Daphnia pulex: one gene and its partner. The protein of the gene in region 1 interacts with the protein of each later gene in a pairwise test. Links are inferred from orthologs where the notes say so. Each region holds a gene or a part of one and is shown on either strand. Other genes may lie near its edges.

Region 1 (11,026 bases):
TAGAGTTTAAAAATACAATACATACTTGTTGTCTGAGTCCAATCCTGATGTTCCATATTTAACTATAATGGGTTTTCGTGGTAATGTTAAGGGGATATTGGGAGAGCGAGGTGCTTCACAAACCTCACAGCAGTGGAGATCAATAAGATTTGAAAATGTGCAGCGTTTGCAAGACCATGTTGAGCTATTGTTGTTTGGCTGTTGAAGAGTTTGATTTTGCTCTTGACTAGCTGAAATTCCTTTAGGTTTGCTGGTCATGCAAGTCATGCAATCTTGAGCACTATAAAAAGTTGGTATATCTTGTCTATTAATAGGTTCTAACAAAAAGAAATTGATTGATGATTGTTCAAACTAACCTTGCCACATTCAGAAATAAGCAGTGAGGGCAAGTCCATTTTGCTAAGAATACACAAGTAATAATGGAATAACAGAGATTCCCACCCAGCAGATGATAAATTATTAAAACGTTAAATACCTGATGAAGAACTAGAGTAGGAGACAGAATGTTTAAGTTGTGAATGATTTTTCGAGGACCGATTGTTTTCCTCAAAGTTGACTGGTGAACACATTGGACGGTCTTCTTCTTTTTCTATTGTACAAGATCGTTTTGCCCCGCAATTGAAGCAACAGCTCTTTTCAGTTGGATTAACTTGTAGGCATATCACACATTTCCATTGCAAGACTGAGGCAATCGTACCCATTTAAAACTAATCCGATTTTAAAAAGCCAAACATCAAGAATTAAATAAAACGCACAAGCCAAACATATCGACAAAGAAACTGTGAGATCCAGACGAAATTTCCCTGTCCGACTGACAGCCGCGATCAGCTGATCCTGAATCGATCGACCTGCCCTCCTGAGGTATTTCGTCTCTGCTGGTCTCCCTTCTGTTAACTGAAGCGGCAGCCAATAAGGTGTAGGATACACTTGCTGAGTCGCCACTTGACATGAATTCTTCATCACCACCCAGTGCTATAGGTGATGCAGATAAGGAAAAAAAAAATCGTTCGTGAAGTTGAAAACAAATATCGCGTGTGGCGTTGCGCGCGCGTTTGTTATCGAACCTGCGGGGCGGACCGAGCGTGAATGTGGTAAGAACACGCATAGACTTTTAGGTGCACGCCACTATAATAACAACTATACTTTTATTTTTTGACAGTAGCATGTTACCTTCTTTTTCTTTTTTCCGAATAAATTTCTTTTTTTTTAAACTTTGGTTGTATGGCTTTAGAGAAAACAGGTATTCGCGCACAAGTGTTGCTTAGATTAAATGGAACGCAAACTTAAATACAGGATCTATCCTATCCAGTTCCATAATCATGTTCTAATCGATATTTGTAAATCAACAATAGAAAATCGACCATTCCCGTCGAGCGTGTTGAGTCGCTGACCAATGAATTTTTCAAAATGCAAATTAATTTTGAATAGGTTAGGCCACCTAGCGACGCGTATTCAAACTTTTTCCTCCTATCAACGCCTACGGAGGAAAAGTCGAAAACGCTCCCCAAATAACAAATAAAAATGCATTAGCATTTTCTCAAAGCGTTTAGTAAAACTATTTTGATATGAAAAACTGATTGGTTTAACAAAATTCTATCGTGTTGTGCATACAAAAGTAGATAAGGAAAAATGGAAAACTTTGGACGCTGTAAAGAGAGAATAGACGTCAGGTATTTGAGATCTGGCAGCGTCATGTTAGTCATCCCATCCATCCCAGCTCACTTGTGTTTCTCCAACTTGGCTGTGGAATTTGAGCTGGAAAAATGTCGTAAAAAGTTCTTTTTCCCCTTTGTTGTTACCCGTTTTCCGTCGATTGGATGGTCGTCGTCTTGTCAATAGAATCGACGCCTTAAATATTAAGTGCAATTGTTTTGTATAGTTTTGTTTCGCTCAGTTCTACAAGGCACCATGGCTTTGGCCAACACGGAAATCGTTCATGAAGGCTGGCTTGTCAAGTCTCCGCCCACCAAACGAATATGGAGAGCTGTAAGTGTAATTTGATTCAATTTTAATTAAAACAGGTTACTCATTATTGAACAGTTGCTCTTTTTACCTTGATAAAACTCCATGGTTCAGAGTGCTAAATAGTAAATACTATTATCAAGCTTCTGTTGGCCATTCTCTCTGTTAGTGGGTCACGATGAAGCATTTCTTTTCCAATCATTTTCCCATTATTATTTATCTCTTTGTTTCTCAAATCATAGATGCCAAATTATCCTTTATTATCCCATTTGTGTTATGTGTGGAGAGTAGAAATTTAGCTGATCCCAGCATTACCATGGCATGTACTCGGTCCCTGATAAATCTTGGAATTCTCTGTGTTTTTTTAAGCGTTGGGCTGTATTGGTTGCTCAACATCAAGATAAGACTTGCCATCACATTTTTCAGAGTTTACCTCAAGCTTTATCTGGAGATTCATAAACTTAGATAACTGCTTTTTAGCATTTCCCCCCCGAGATAAAAAATTCCTCCAAAAATAAATTATGCAGGAGCTGTTTTGTTATCAAAATGGTGCATGGTTGTTTGTGACACTTTGTGGGCTGCCACCAATCGGGCGAGTTTTTTTTTCCCGGTTTCTGTGGTGAACGCTGCAACGAAATTTATTCGATCTATATATTTTGTGTTTTGTTTTCATCATCTCGATATCTGTGGAAGAGAGGAGGATGTTGTTCCCACGGTTTTGGTAGATGCGCGCTTCTCTGACCTATGACCGACTCTTTGTAATCGGATCTGTTGATGGCATTCCCCTCCCCTCTTCGTTCAACTTAGATATGATCGAATTTCTTCTCCTCTCCCCCCTTTCTTTTTTTATTATGAGAATGTTTGCCGATCTCGTTCTCACTCTACGACAACCCCCATGCGAGGAGACCCTTCTATTATTATACAAAAATGTCTTGTGTGCCTGGCCCATCAATTTCTTATCCCTTTTTTTTCTTCTTCTTTTGGTGACACAGAAATGGCGGAGAAGATGGTTCGTGTTGAAACATTCTGGCGAGTTGCCTGGACAATATTTCCTTGAATATTACACGGATCGAACATGTCGAAAATTAAAGGGCAAAATCGATTTGGACCAATGCGAACAGGTGAATTGACTTTTTAATTTAATTTGTTCAACATAATTTTTAAAATTATGTTTTTTCTTGTAACAGGTGGATTCCGGGCTGACGATTGAAAGTAGGAAGCAGCGGTATGCCCACATGTTTGACATCCGCACACCGAAGCGCGTCTACTTTTTGGCGGCCGACAGTGAATCAGACATGAATAGCTGGGTGGGTTGCATCTGTCACGTCTGCGGTCTCAAGGTGTTTTATCGCGAAGATGAAGAGACCGGTTCGTCTGTGACTCTGACACGGCCCGTCCCTAACGCGTCATCGACAATGGCCACCAGCGGAGTCCATTCGGCCATGGCGAGGACTTTGCAAGTGAGCCAGTTGTTGGAAGACACGCCACCCACCTCGCCCACTTCGCCGACCGGCAGTTCGGGCCCTTATTTCCCGTTGAGCGAATGCCTTTCAGGATCGCGCAGTCTCGTCTTTCAAGAAGCTATGGGATCGGTGGGCCAGCCGTCGTCGGCGCCCGTGACTCCAGCGCCGACAGCGCGAGGCTTAGCTCTCGGAACTCAAAGTTTACGCGGCCGGCCTCAGCGCGAGGGCTGGGACATTTTCTGCGACCAGCCCAGACAGTTGTCGTCGCCCGGCCACTCACAATTGGGTCAATCGCAGCAACTGCAGCCCGTCAGTTCGTCGGCGCGCAACGACCAAGGAGTTCACGAGCAAATTCGTAGCTTTGAGGACAAGTTTGCGCACTCTTTTAAGAGACTGCAACCGGCCACTGGCGCCAGCAAACGACCATCAGTTCCCCAATTGATGGGCAGTCAGAAGTTTGTGCCGCCGCCTCGCCCGCCCAAACCACCTCATTTAATCGACCAGCCTTCGCACAATTATCTGAATCTGGAACAGCTGCAATCGCCAACTTCCGTCGCTCCTGGTGGCAGATCGCACAGTCGCAGCAGTAGCCCACGCTCTCCATCGTCGACATCGCCTCCTTTACCTACGCCGACCAACGCCGATTCCTGGTAATTATTCAACGATTAGTAAATGAAGCGCAGACCTTGGTTAATTGATTGTTTCATTTTTTGGGGAAATTTTAAGGTACGATTTCCCGCGATCGCACCAGGGTGACCACGGCAACGACGGCAAGACGGGCAAGGATGCCCAGAGACGGCACTGTTACTCGAACGCTGCACCTGGCGAATTGTCGTCATCGGCTGTGGCTGCAGCGGCTGAGATTTTCACGTTCAACAACAACGCCGTCACGGCCGGGTTGTCTGCCGCTTCGGCCATGTCGCCCAGCGTTTATTCGAATCTGGCCAGCCCCTTCCCTTTGGCGAGTCCAGCACTCCTTCCCATGACCCCCTTTTCTCCGCCTTCAGTCAACCGAACACTCAAGCCCAAGACGCAATCCTCTGGTGCGGCCGGCGTCGTTGATGGACCCCTTCCACCGCCCTCAGTCAACCGCCAGTTGAAACCCAATCGTAAGTGGTCTCGTTTGAGGTCTATCGATTTTTTGGGGTGTTGTTAACGATGCCAATCTTTTATTTTCTCTCTCTTCTCAGGTCCCGTTTCTGGTGTCGGACAACACGCCGATTTCCACGGAAGCAGTTCAGACGATGCTGACGATCCATCGAGTCGGGGCAGTACCCGACCCAATTCCGCCCATGACGAGGAGCAGGTAAAACATTTTCCTCCTTTTTTAAAAAATTAATGAATTAACTCGCTTTGCTGACCAACTAAAACTAACCTTGGGTGGTGTCCGCGGTTTCTTTCCTTTTTTTTCTCATTTGTGTCTCCCCTACAGATCTACTATTTCATTCAGGGCTCGAGGGTCATTAGCGCTGGCCGTCAGCTGGACGATATCCAGTATTTGGACTTGGATTTGGAGTCTGACTCGTCTCTCCAATCGCCCAAAAGTCCCGAACGGGGTCACCATCACCAAAATCACCACCAGGCTTCGTCGACTGTCTACAAGACTGTCGACTTCATCAAAACGGAAGCTTTCAACCGAACACGTCTCACCGTCGAGGAGCGTCGCTCCAAAAAGGCGCAATAGGCACTCTCGAACCACCGCCACCTTTTTTGGATCGTTCAAATGTCTCGAGAAACATCCAAGACAATGACTCAATTCTTTTCAGAAGAAAAGAAGAAAACAAAAAGTAGGGAACACACGCACTCGGCACAAAATCATATTTGACACACATACGCGCGCGCACCCCCACGGAGAGAGATTAAAAACAATTCTGTGAGATTATTTCCGTTGTGTAAAAAAGACAATCAAAGATGATGGCACACACATATACAAGCCTTGTCGGCCATGTGTTTTTTCGTCAACCCCCTCCCCACCCACATTTGACTCCTCCCCATTTTTCCTTTGACAGATGGACTCGAGCCATTCCCTTTTTTATGCACGTGTATGTGTATATATATATATACATATATATATATATAAAAATAATCATTTTGGCCAATACTTCGACAACAAATTCAAAAAAACTTGCCCGAAGCTTTTCTCCTTACAATATATAAAAGTTTTTTTTGTTTAACGCAAAAACAAACAAAAAATTACCAACAGGATTGTTGGAGTGTTATTCCTTTCCCGTTAATCTATTTTTTTTTTAAATTGATGTTCACTTGTTTCAAGGGCGGCGATTCTCGCGATTACAGCAAAAAGAAAAGGGCAATTTAATGACAATCGAAAATGTGGGGCAGAACAGCATATTCATTCTTTAAAAAAACAATTCTTTTGATGATGATTATTACTTGTAATTTTGTTTGTTTTTTCTTTCTCTCTCTTTTGTCTTTTGCATTTGGATTTCTTTTGAAAAAGAAAAGAAGAATCACGCTTCGTCTTTTATTCTTGTACGTACGTTTTCCCCAACACTTTGAGAGATTATCTGTAAATACAGTTCTTTTTTTTTTCTCACTTTAATTCATTTTTCTATTTCAGTTAACCTTCACCGCAAGTATACAAGATGAAGGTGTCGCATTGCGCGCATGATCGGCTCACCGGCATCTGTGTATGAATCCCGTCTGGGATATTTAATTCGTTCGTCAGCTTTCACCGAGGGGGTGCGGCGATTGATCGGCGGGAAAACAGAAACCGCTGGTGCGTGTGTAGGTTACAGACAGACATAACACTGCCAGCACGTCGTCCACGTCGTCGTCTCGGTCTAAATATATATAACGTCAGACCTAGTACGACAAAATGCGTGTGCGCTGCTTTTCTCTTTGTAACTGGATGACCTCCACCATCTTTTTTTCGTCTTCTCCTGTACCCCGTCTGCAGTTGTGCCAACCTCCTATAGGATCCGCTGGAACAGTCACATGTTAGCAAGGGATTTGTGTCCGACTTGGGTCTATACTATATTCCAGCGTGTTTTTAGAATTTTTCATTTTGGCAGCAGAAGGAAATGTTCAGCACCGAAATAATCAAATGTGAGAAATAGAAATGAAATGTTTCCAATATTGGTTCAACTCGTCAAACACGACACTCACGCAGCAGCACATAACAGTTGAGTCAACACACGCTACATGGATAGAGAGAGAGATATTGCAGCAATTTTGTTTCTCTTTTTTTCAGTATATTTCCCCGTGTCTGTGTACAATCTCCACGAGACGAGGTTATTGGCGTCAATCAAATTTTTTGAAAATTCCCGCGCTTGACGGGTTTCGATAAAGACGGGCAAATTGCGGTTGGAAGAAGAGCCTCCGCCAATGCATCCTAATGACGTATGCAAATACACAGACATAAAATAGCTGGTGGGGGTATATAATCAGACGTTGTTCATTGCCATCAAAACAAATTCTTCAGATCAAGAAAACACCAAACTCTGCGCAATTTTTCCGCTTCCAGGCGATGATTTCTCTCCGTTCCAACGAGCCACCCTGGAGCTCGTTATTAGGGCGGGTTTCGTGCAAATTTTTACTCGGATCTTGTCCGTCCAGGGTGGGCTTGATGTAACTTATCGAGAAGAACAATTTGATGTGAAATATATATCCCGATTTGTCCATGCGGTTTGGTTTTAGGGAAGGGGTTGATTTTCTTTGATTTTGGCGGGAAGTGGGAGGCGCGGAGGGCGGATTTTTAATATCGATATCTTAACTTCTTAAGCGTGGTTAATTAGAATATTTGTGTCGTCTGCTTTCCTTTTGTTTCGCAGTTTCGAAAAAGCTAAAAGAGACGAAGGTTCAGACATTTTTTATCATAGAAAACTGAAGGGATCACTGGTTTGATGGAAACGTGTACGTGGCTGCAAGAGAAATTGCAGAACAAAATAAAATGTGGTCGTCGTGCAAACTTATTTGGTGTCGTGACTCGTGGCCATGCTCTCCACTCCATGCTGTTTCTCAGGTAAATAAAACTAGAATACGAAATACGAATGGAATGATTTTGGAAGCTCATTAGAAGAGTTCAACCTTTTCCAAATTTGTGAAATGTTGGTGCCCAACTACAGTGACTAGCATCTATCATGTAATAATGCTTGTTGTCGATGCATGACAGAGTTTGTTTGCTCCATGTATAACCTTTACCTTTGTGTAGATTTCAGTACTGAGCCAGCCATCGTAACTACAAGATTTGCAAGTTTTGACACTGACCCGTCATCACCAACAATCTCAGCATCATTAATTGGGTAAAGATTTTTGTTGCTTTTATTAACCTGTTACCTGCTGTATATAAATGGTGCCTAAAACTTGCATAAAAAGGTACTGCCAGGTATTACATGTAAACCTTAAGCAATCGTGTTTATTAACAGTAAGGGGATAACCACTGTCTTCTTTCTAACTTTTCCCAAGTTGTTGTCTCTGCAATATTTTTTTCGTAACCTGTTTTGTATTTTTTGATTAGATAAACAGCTCCTAGTTTAATTGGGAAAACTCTGTCCTCGTGTACACCCATGTGAAGGTGAGTGTATACTCACGATGACCCCCTTATCCTATCCTGACTGGCGTCAACCGTGACTTGACTGAGGATGGAGCACTTGTGGTTGCCTGGCTGTGGATTTCCTCGGTTTTAAGGTAGAAACAATGTAATCCTGTTCTTCCTTTTTATCTATTTGGTGGCGTTATGGTTATATAACGTTACGGAATACGATTATTCCTGAGCTAGGCCATTTGACTGGAACTGTTTTCTCTTGCTGTTTCTGTTGTATCAATCAGGGTTAATTAAACAACTCATTTGCAGAGCGACTGCACGGTATCAGGCTTGTTTTATACCTCACAACTTAATCTGCGGGTAAAAAATCAAATTAAAAAAAAAAACTTGTTTAATTTTAAAAACCTCAACAATGTGCAAAAGTCTCGTTTGAATTCAATTCAGCGCCATACAAACCTTCGGGAATCGAGCAGCTACTGGCAGCAGCGCCATCACGTTGCCAAAGTTGAAACATTCAATTCTACAAAACTAAATGAATGGAATTTCATTCCAACGTCTCGACTTTTTAGATTGAATTACACATCACGTGGCTTGAGGCACGCGCTGTCATAACTCCCGCGGGATTGAACCCAATTCGGTTTCACGTTCTATACCCAATAGGAATCGTCCAAAACAAATTATTATGTTCCATGTTGTGTGCTGTGTGTTTACATCTTTTTTTTTCCCCGGCTGCGCATATGGCTTACGTAATAATGTGTCGGTATTACTGTGACGCGCCGCTTTTATTTGACACCGGCTGGCGCGGCTTCAGTTTTCCCCCGAATAGTTTTTCGAGACGTGCATCGCATGTCCGTGTTAAGTTTCTCAGCATACCTACGTATACATGCTAACAATCAATGTTAAAAACCAGAGCTCTACAAGAGCTGCTATCCCATCGTCTGTATTTAGTGCGGCCATCGGGACCGGTTAGACTCGATTTCATTTGTACCGTTGGGAATTCTGTTACGAATGTTTTTTTTCCATCAAGCTGTCGGCGCATACCATTCTTTTTACGGATTTACCTATCTAAATCACTCGATAGAAATGGTTGTTGTTGTACTACACCTTTTTATAAATTAAAACAGTTTGTTTTGTGGGGAATTCTTGCTCTTCTTTGTAACTCGGTTGATCAATTCGAATTGTCAATGGCGGCAGCATAGAGCTACGCCAGAATTTCATGGAAAAATCATTTCATTTGATGTAGCCAAAGCTTATATTCAATACCTCTCATTTGTCATGTACGCTATTTGTATACATCCTTGTTATTAAATTGATACGAGCGTTGTATAACGATTTCAAATATGCGTCTGTATAAAATATCAATCGGAGCTAATCAGCTGACGATGTTTTTTCTCTTTTTTCAAAGTCGATGTGATTTTATTTTTTCGATGCTGTGATGCTTGCGGTTAAACCCACACAGAGAACCCATTCACAAGTTGACCTGAATGTCACTATCGCCATCTGGAGTTCATTTCTCAGTCGCTCCGGCTTATCTCTTCTTCTTTTTTCAACGTGACTTTTTGAGGGGCTATTTTATTTTTATGGCATCAGCATCTAACGGTATTTATTATACACACACGGTTGTATGGGTTGGCCTTATTTTTTTGGAAAAGATTTGAAATAACTTGATGAAATAATTGCGAAATAGATCCAGCGGGATGGACATCACCTCAATCTATGTATTAAAAGTTACACAGTAGTCAGTTATAGACAAGATGGATGCGACATTAGTCACGGATGTCGTCCGCTCGTTTGCTGACGTACTCGATCTTGTCCCTCGATTTTCTTTCAACGTGTGGCCGAGTGGTGGGCGCGACAACCGGAAAAAAAATAAGAAAATAAAAAGAATCTGTGCAAGTTTGTGCGGAGGTGTCGGGAGTTCACGCTGCCGGAACTGGCATTTAAAAATGGCCGGTGGTGCGTCACTTTCTCCCCCCGACTTTAATTCAATTCCTTCCTTTTTGGCATTTTGTTGGATTTTTTGAGCTGAATGGAATTTTTGTCCAGAAATTATTATAAAAATGAAATCTCGACTTCCTGTGAATAGGAAAAATGGAGGAAAACCAGTTGAAAAGGGGCAGGATGAAGATGGGAAGGAAATGGAACGGAAACGGGTCAGCTCACCTCTTGTCCTCTTCAGATTGAACGCACAGGTGGAATACACACGGCTCGTAAAAGGAGTAGTACCTATACAGACGAAGGGGGGGGGGACACAGGATAATATGCCCTCGAGGGCAACTTTTTTCATTTTCCCCTTCGAATTTTTGTCTTTCTCGGTGCCCTCATCCGCACGGACACCGGATGTCCGCCCGACAACACACAAACAACAGCACAGAGCAATGAAAAACCACTTTGACGAAGCCCCGCTGCTGTCATAAACCCAACACAGCGACTCATACCCTCCTCCTCCTTTTCATTCCAACACGCAACTTCATTTGGATTTTTCTCTCCGTCACAATCTCGACAAACTGTTGAATCCCTAATAATATTCCACGGACTATATATAGACACACCCGGAAAAATAAAAATAAATTGCGTTATAATCTCGTGAAAAGAATAAAAATTTCGTGATTCAAGTCAAATCGGATTTTTAAAAAACCTTTGGGGGTTTCGCGATTAGAACGTTTCGCGTGTGCGGGATTGTTATTACATCTACACACATAAATAGGTATGTAGACTCTGTCTGAGAGATTTTTAGCGTGACCTTTTGTCGGGTTGTTGGCTTCTTTCACTCTGTAAGACTTTACGTCAATATAATATGCAAAAAAGAAAATGGGGGGTGGAGGCCCTTTTTTGTTATTATTCTCTTGTCTACACGTTTTAAGTGGATTGAAGATGAGGGGCGGACGGTTAGAGACTCGGAAGACTTTTCCAGTCAGGGGCTTTAAGTTAATTTGGGGTTTCTTCATCGACAACAACACACACATAGTCAAATCGTAGTCGCAATCACACACGTAACATCAGGAAACAGTTCTTATAGCTTAGAATAGATAAAAATTAGGGTGGAAATATATATTCCCGGAAAGAAGAAGAATCCATAATTTTTGATTGAAATTCA
Region 2 (5,741 bases), on another chromosome or scaffold:
TTCTCTCATTGTGCTGCTTATCTGTTGAGAAGCCAACTGCTGGGTAGCTTTCAGAAAGTCTTGTTGTTCCAGCAACTTTTCTTGACCTTTGGTCAAAGAAGTTAAAGTATCAGCAGCCAAAGATCCAAGTTCCTCTTGCTCAGCCTGTGAGGAAAAAAAAAGATACAATACAGTTGTGATGAAAATCAATAAAGAAACCAACCTTGAGCTCTCTAATGAATCCCAATTGTTGACTAGAACTGGCCATGAGTTTGTTGACTGTCATTTGAGTCAGTGCTCTAAACTGTTGTTGGCGGGCACCGTAGCACACTGATCTTGCTCTATTGGATAGAATATGGTAGGCATTCCAGGTGTCGGAATCCATGTCAGAAGTACATTCCCTTAAAGTCTAAAAAATATAAACTGGTTAGCTACAACTAGCTGAAGTGATACATTAATTAGAAAACTTGCCATTGAAGAGGAGCATGGGTAGACTCTCCGCCCTTCCAATCTTGATTGGCAGTTTAAAAGATTCACACCCAACTTAGACAAATCTTCCTCTGAGAGATCATTGCAGTCTTGCTTCAATTGAAGGATTAACTATAAACGAGTTCATTAATATTAATGAACAGTGAGATTGTACTTTGAATCAACATCAAAGTACTTTACTTACTTTATGCTGGCAAACATCCAGCTCGCTCAGACTAAGGTCAGTATATTTCTGTGCATCGGCAATGAATTTTTCATCAGCTACAGACAGCTCAAATGGAATATCAGACCTTGCTTGCACAGCACTCTCATCAGGTTCAGAAACTTCAATCTTATCATCTTCTTTTGCTACAGCCATAAGCTTATCAAATTGTTTTTCACTACTCAAAATGTTAAAAGGGGAGCTGTCTCTGCCTAAAATCCAACCTACTAAACTAGAATGACTACCAGTTCCTAGGAGAATTATGGCCACTAAATATAAAGTTATCTTCATTTTTGTAATAATCACAGTGCAATATAAGAGAAAATCATCTGACAATAATTGTATAAGATTGTAAGAGGGTTTGGTCGATAAAATTAGTCAAAAGGAACTGCACGTTGCTTTTCTAAATTCAAGTCCGGACTGGTCTGAATCTCTGGGTCGAGATTCCTTTTGAAAACCATTTGCATTTATTCAAATGAGGCAGATAACGTTGCCACATTGCTTTTTCCAAAAGAATTCGACGGAAATTTAAATATTTAAAATCTTAAAATATTCATCTATTATGTTGTATTATAAAAAATGTATATTCCTGTAATTGAAATAATATTTTAAATAATTTCAGTCATTTGGAAAAAAAATAGTTAGAAAAAATAAAAAACGTTTACAGGCACGCAAGCATTTACCTTTAAAATTCCATTGGGAGAAAAGGACTGGTGACGCTCGTGCGTCAAAGCCAAGAACTAAGTTGTTTCCCAAAATTATGGCTGTCTGGCTTTCGTCGGGCCCCGAAAACAGTGTATAGTTAATCAAACAATCGTGGATACGGATACGTCAGTTGATAGTCAATATTGTCAAACAATTTGTGGGAAATGCTATTCGTTTTTGAGTTTCGAGAAGTGTAATTCGACTTTGAACGAAGTCAAAACATTTTGGTGATTGGCCAACAACCGTTTCACTTGATAAACGTAGCCGTGGTGCACATCCGGCCTAGCCTTGAAAAGGAAATTCCTTCTCTGAAGCTTGTTTTGCCAAGAAATACTTTATCATCTGTGATTTCATAAAACGTGTTATTTTCGAGATGGAGGCCAATTCTAAACATGACTTTAATGCCACTGCTGAAGATGAGCTTAGTTTTCGAAAAGGGCAAGTTCTCAAGGTAAACCAAGCAATGATGCTTTCAACAGAATTTAAGGAATTTTTGCTTATAGCAATATTCTAACCTGTTCATTTGATTCAAATGTAGATTCTGAATATGGAAGATGATCTGAATTGGTATAGAGCAGAATTGGATGGAAAAGAAGGGTTGATTCCTAGTAACTACATTGAAATGAAAAATCATGAGTAAGCCTAGTTGAAATGTTTATGATAAAATAATGCATATTGATTATAACTTGTTGTTTTATTTTCTACAGTTGGTACTATGGAAGAATAACCAGAGCTGATGCAGAGAAACTCTTGGGCAACAAACATGAAGGCGCTTTTGTTGTTAGAGTCAGTGAGAGCTCACCGGGAGACTTTTCCCTGTCTGTTAAGTATGTTATCTAGTTCTTAAAATAACAATGTGATAGATTTTGTTTAGAAACATAGACAGTGTAAATCCTTAACCAAGAGCTCTAGATAGTTTAGAAATGCCCCATAGGAATTCTTCTACTATGTTTGATGTTATTATTTGCCTATTCTCAAATGTTGTTGAAATCTATTTGTGGCATACCAGACTACTTATCATTAGAACATCTGAATGAGATAAGTTGACATCTATTAACTAAGCTTGTAAGTCGTTAACTGCCTAAAACGGGAAGATTTCTCAAAATATTTATGTAGAAATAGCACATTATAAAAACATATTGAGAAATATCGCTTTGCATTCAGATATCCTGATTAGACGCTACACGTACATTTGAAGCGTGAAAAGAATTTCAAACATGCAGGCTTTCATCAGTGTAAAATCAAATATCTTATAATCTCGCTCTCCAAACTGTACGATACAAGTTCTACCTTACTAGGAAGACGCGTTTGAATAGAAAATTAATGAACCGAACGTACAGTTTATTTCTATTTCCCTCAAAGAATCATGGGTATTTGGTTTTCTGTAGAAATTTGATTTGATCACGCAAGAATTCTTTCCAAATGCAGTGCATGAGTCAACCTGATGACGCACACATCCGTTTACATTCCAATTTTATTCACTTCAAAGGTGGAATGAATCTCAATTGTCTATTTTGTTTTACCTTAAAAAAACAAAGACAGCTTGTAAAATTGGAACTCGTGCAGTGACTACCCTTTGCTTAAGTCGTGACTCGTGATTCATGAACCGTCAGTCCTACTGTTTTCAGTAATTAGTTTTATCCTTTTTGGTATTTTATTAGCCTTGTTAGGCGTGTCTAGGGTACATTCTGTTTTCTATCTGTTAGGCCTTTTCGTCAAGTTCCCTTACCACTGAGCCACCGTCCGTAATCAAGCAACTATATATGTGCCTTGAACCGGAGTTTTGCATCATTTTTAGTTTTTACAATTCTCTCATCGCCCTGCTGTGTTATTTATTCCTTCTTGAGGTTTTTGCCCGTTAAGTTGTAGGATGAGTGTGTTTTGTTTATAGCTAAGGAAGCCATCATCCTACTTCCTTGTAGTTCGAAATTAGTTTGAAATTTACACAATACTTTGTTACGTGCATTCTGTGTTAATAGGCTATTCTCTATTTTTTCTTTCTTGTCTCGCAGATGTGGCGATGGTGTCCAGCACTTCAAAGTACTTCGCGATGCCCAAGGGAAGTTCTTTTTGTGGGTGGTAAAATTCAACTCGCTCAACGAACTGGTCGACTACCATCGCTCCACATCTGTTTCTCGGTCTCAGGATATAAAGTTACGAGACATGGTGCCTGAAGAGGTGAGTTACCAGTTGTTCTTTTTTCCATGCCTTTAGGCTCAGGATTGACTAACAATTGTTGTGTGAATTTTCGACAGTTCTTGGTGCAGGCACTATACGATTTCACCCCGCAAGAACCAGGTGAATTGGAATTTAAGCGAGGCGACGTCATAACTGTGACAGACCGTTCTGATCAACATTGGTGGACTGGAGAAATTGGCGCCCGCCGCGGCCTCTTTCCTGCCACTTACGTTGCCCCGTATCATACTTAAAAGGCGAAGGCACTGTTCGTTCGTTTTCTTTTGCTCCTTTTCTTTTCTTCATAAATTTTTCTTCATTTTTTTTTTCTTTTTGTATTAAAGTGGTGCGTCCGTTCTTAAGACTCAAGTTATTTTTGCCGACTTCGAACCTAAACACATTACTAACTTTGATAACAAAACAGTAAAAGTGATGAACAGCTAGGATTGACAGGATTGCATCTCATTTCTCATTGAAAGCAGTTTGTAAAATTGCTTTCTTTTCAGTTTTTTTCCGTTTATGTTGTTCTAACCTCGATTTTCGACTGTATTTCCCCTCAAGCACACAGCTTTCGGGATTGCCATTAGATGTGGCTTTGGTCGAATAGTCATGTTGGAGCAATTTGTGTGGTTTTGATTGCGGAAAGATAAGTTAACTTATCCATAACGTCGACAACAATTACTGGGCTATTAAGTTTGCCCGTCATTTCTGTTGCTTCTTCTTATCTTATTGGCTCTTTTCCCTTTTTTGTCGACATTTTAAAGTGAATTTCGATTTTCTACCTATATCGATAACCTCTTCATAACTCTCACTCTTATGAACTAGCTTGAGACCATGCTATACTTGTACATCGAACAGTATCTTGATTGATGAAAATATAATGTGCAAACCAATGTTTTAGTCTTCTTCTCCGTCAGATTTAAAACTCTTACCTGTTGCGTTCATTGTTTCGTAATAGTAGAATGTGTAAGAGGAAAAAAATTTGTGTATTTAAAGATGCATCTAAACAAATACTATGTTTAATGAATTAATCTTCATCGATGAGAAATTTTCTTACGCTACGTAAGTATTCGGGCTCGAGACTGTTTGTAAGCTCTTCTCTGCCCAACCAATTATACTCTATGTCTGAACAAGTAGTGCAAGAAGAAAGCAATTGGGCTTTGAAGAAGAAAACTTTTGAACCGGTAAAACCAAGCTTTTGGCGAACTGACGACGGATATTTGATAGTATGTACTCCCCACGGAGCATTGCCCAATACTCGCACTGACGTATCAGGAGTTTTCACGTATTCTCTAAGTGCACGTTCTGCGGTCTCACGTAAGGTCTCCCCTTCCCTCCACCTACTTTCCGGAAGCTTCCAAACTTTCTTGTCTTTTTCTTGCACAACAAAAAGCAAATGCTTATCCAGCTTTCGATTGGTGGACTTCTGGTCTCCACTCAAATCTTCAGCTAGTTTACAGTAGGTCAATGAATTACTTGTTAGTCAACTTTATTATTTATATTATTACCTGTAGTCCTTGGGGCAGGCTTAAATTTTTGAAATTCTTCATTGCAAGCATCTTCAAAGTCTTGAGCTGTTTGCCTTGTTGCTGCATCTGGGTTACTTTCATCTTGAGTTCCATCTGCAGCCATTTTTTGTAGCTTCCTACAATTAAGAAATTATTCATATTAAAATTAAAATCTTTGATGGTATTTGAAATTATTACTTGTCTTCTTCATGTCTTAGTTCATGATTTGATTTGAGGCTTCTCATATTATCAAACTTCTCAATCATTTCACTAATTTGTTGTTCAATTTCGGTCATGGGAGGCACAATGATTGGTGTTCTTTCCAGACAAATTGCACCAAGAAGTTCCCATTTTTGGGGTGAAGAACTGGATGTAGAAGCACTCGACATTCTCAAGAAAACTACGAACATAAAATTTATTTTATCCATCAAAAAGCGTTAAAAAATGAATGATTTTAAGCTTTTTACCTTTTGGATTTTGATAGACTTTGTTAATTGAAAAACCATTCTTAACTAGTGATAGGCTACCTAAAGCATGAGATCGAAAGCAAAACATTTTTCTCTTGTATCTTATTTGAATAACTATTGATTAGTCTATATTAAATTCTGGCCACAAGGCCGGCACGGGCACAGTAAGAATTGTCAACAAAATCGGAAAATCCTCGATTCGATTCCGAGAGTCTT

The links.
Region 2: the proteins of protein daughter of sevenless-like (region 1) and growth factor receptor-bound protein 2 interact in binary tests that used the Drosophila melanogaster proteins (3 or more experiments, as listed by UniProt). The link is inferred for Daphnia pulex from reciprocal best matches to the Drosophila melanogaster genes dos and drk.

Annotation. Positions count from the first base shown.
Region 1 is NC_060019.1:10,843,036-10,854,061, forward strand, and holds protein daughter of sevenless-like, read left to right. Parts: upstream 1-1,578; 5' UTR 1,579-1,908; coding exon 1,909-1,986; intron 1,987-2,954; coding exon 2,955-3,083; intron 3,084-3,149; coding exon 3,150-4,075; intron 4,076-4,151; coding exon 4,152-4,534; intron 4,535-4,615; coding exon 4,616-4,731; intron 4,732-4,857; coding exon 4,858-5,109; 3' UTR 5,110-5,985; downstream 5,986-11,026. Other genes in the region: calpain-D-like, read right to left, coding at 26-280, 357-399, 476-701. UniProt on the Drosophila melanogaster protein: Essential component for signaling from various receptor tyrosine kinases such as Sevenless, TORSO and DER. Required for photoreceptor cell and wing development.
Region 2 is NC_060028.1:9,113,636-9,119,376, reverse strand, and holds growth factor receptor-bound protein 2, read left to right. Parts: upstream 1-1,352; 5' UTR 1,353-1,748; coding exon 1,749-1,826; intron 1,827-1,913; coding exon 1,914-2,011; intron 2,012-2,082; coding exon 2,083-2,202; intron 2,203-3,387; coding exon 3,388-3,553; intron 3,554-3,630; coding exon 3,631-3,804; 3' UTR 3,805-4,443; downstream 4,444-5,741. Other genes in the region: protein brambleberry-like, read right to left, coding at 1-144, 203-388, 451-579, 653-961; 39S ribosomal protein L46, mitochondrial-like, read right to left, coding at 4,578-4,999, 5,059-5,195, 5,257-5,458, 5,526-5,613.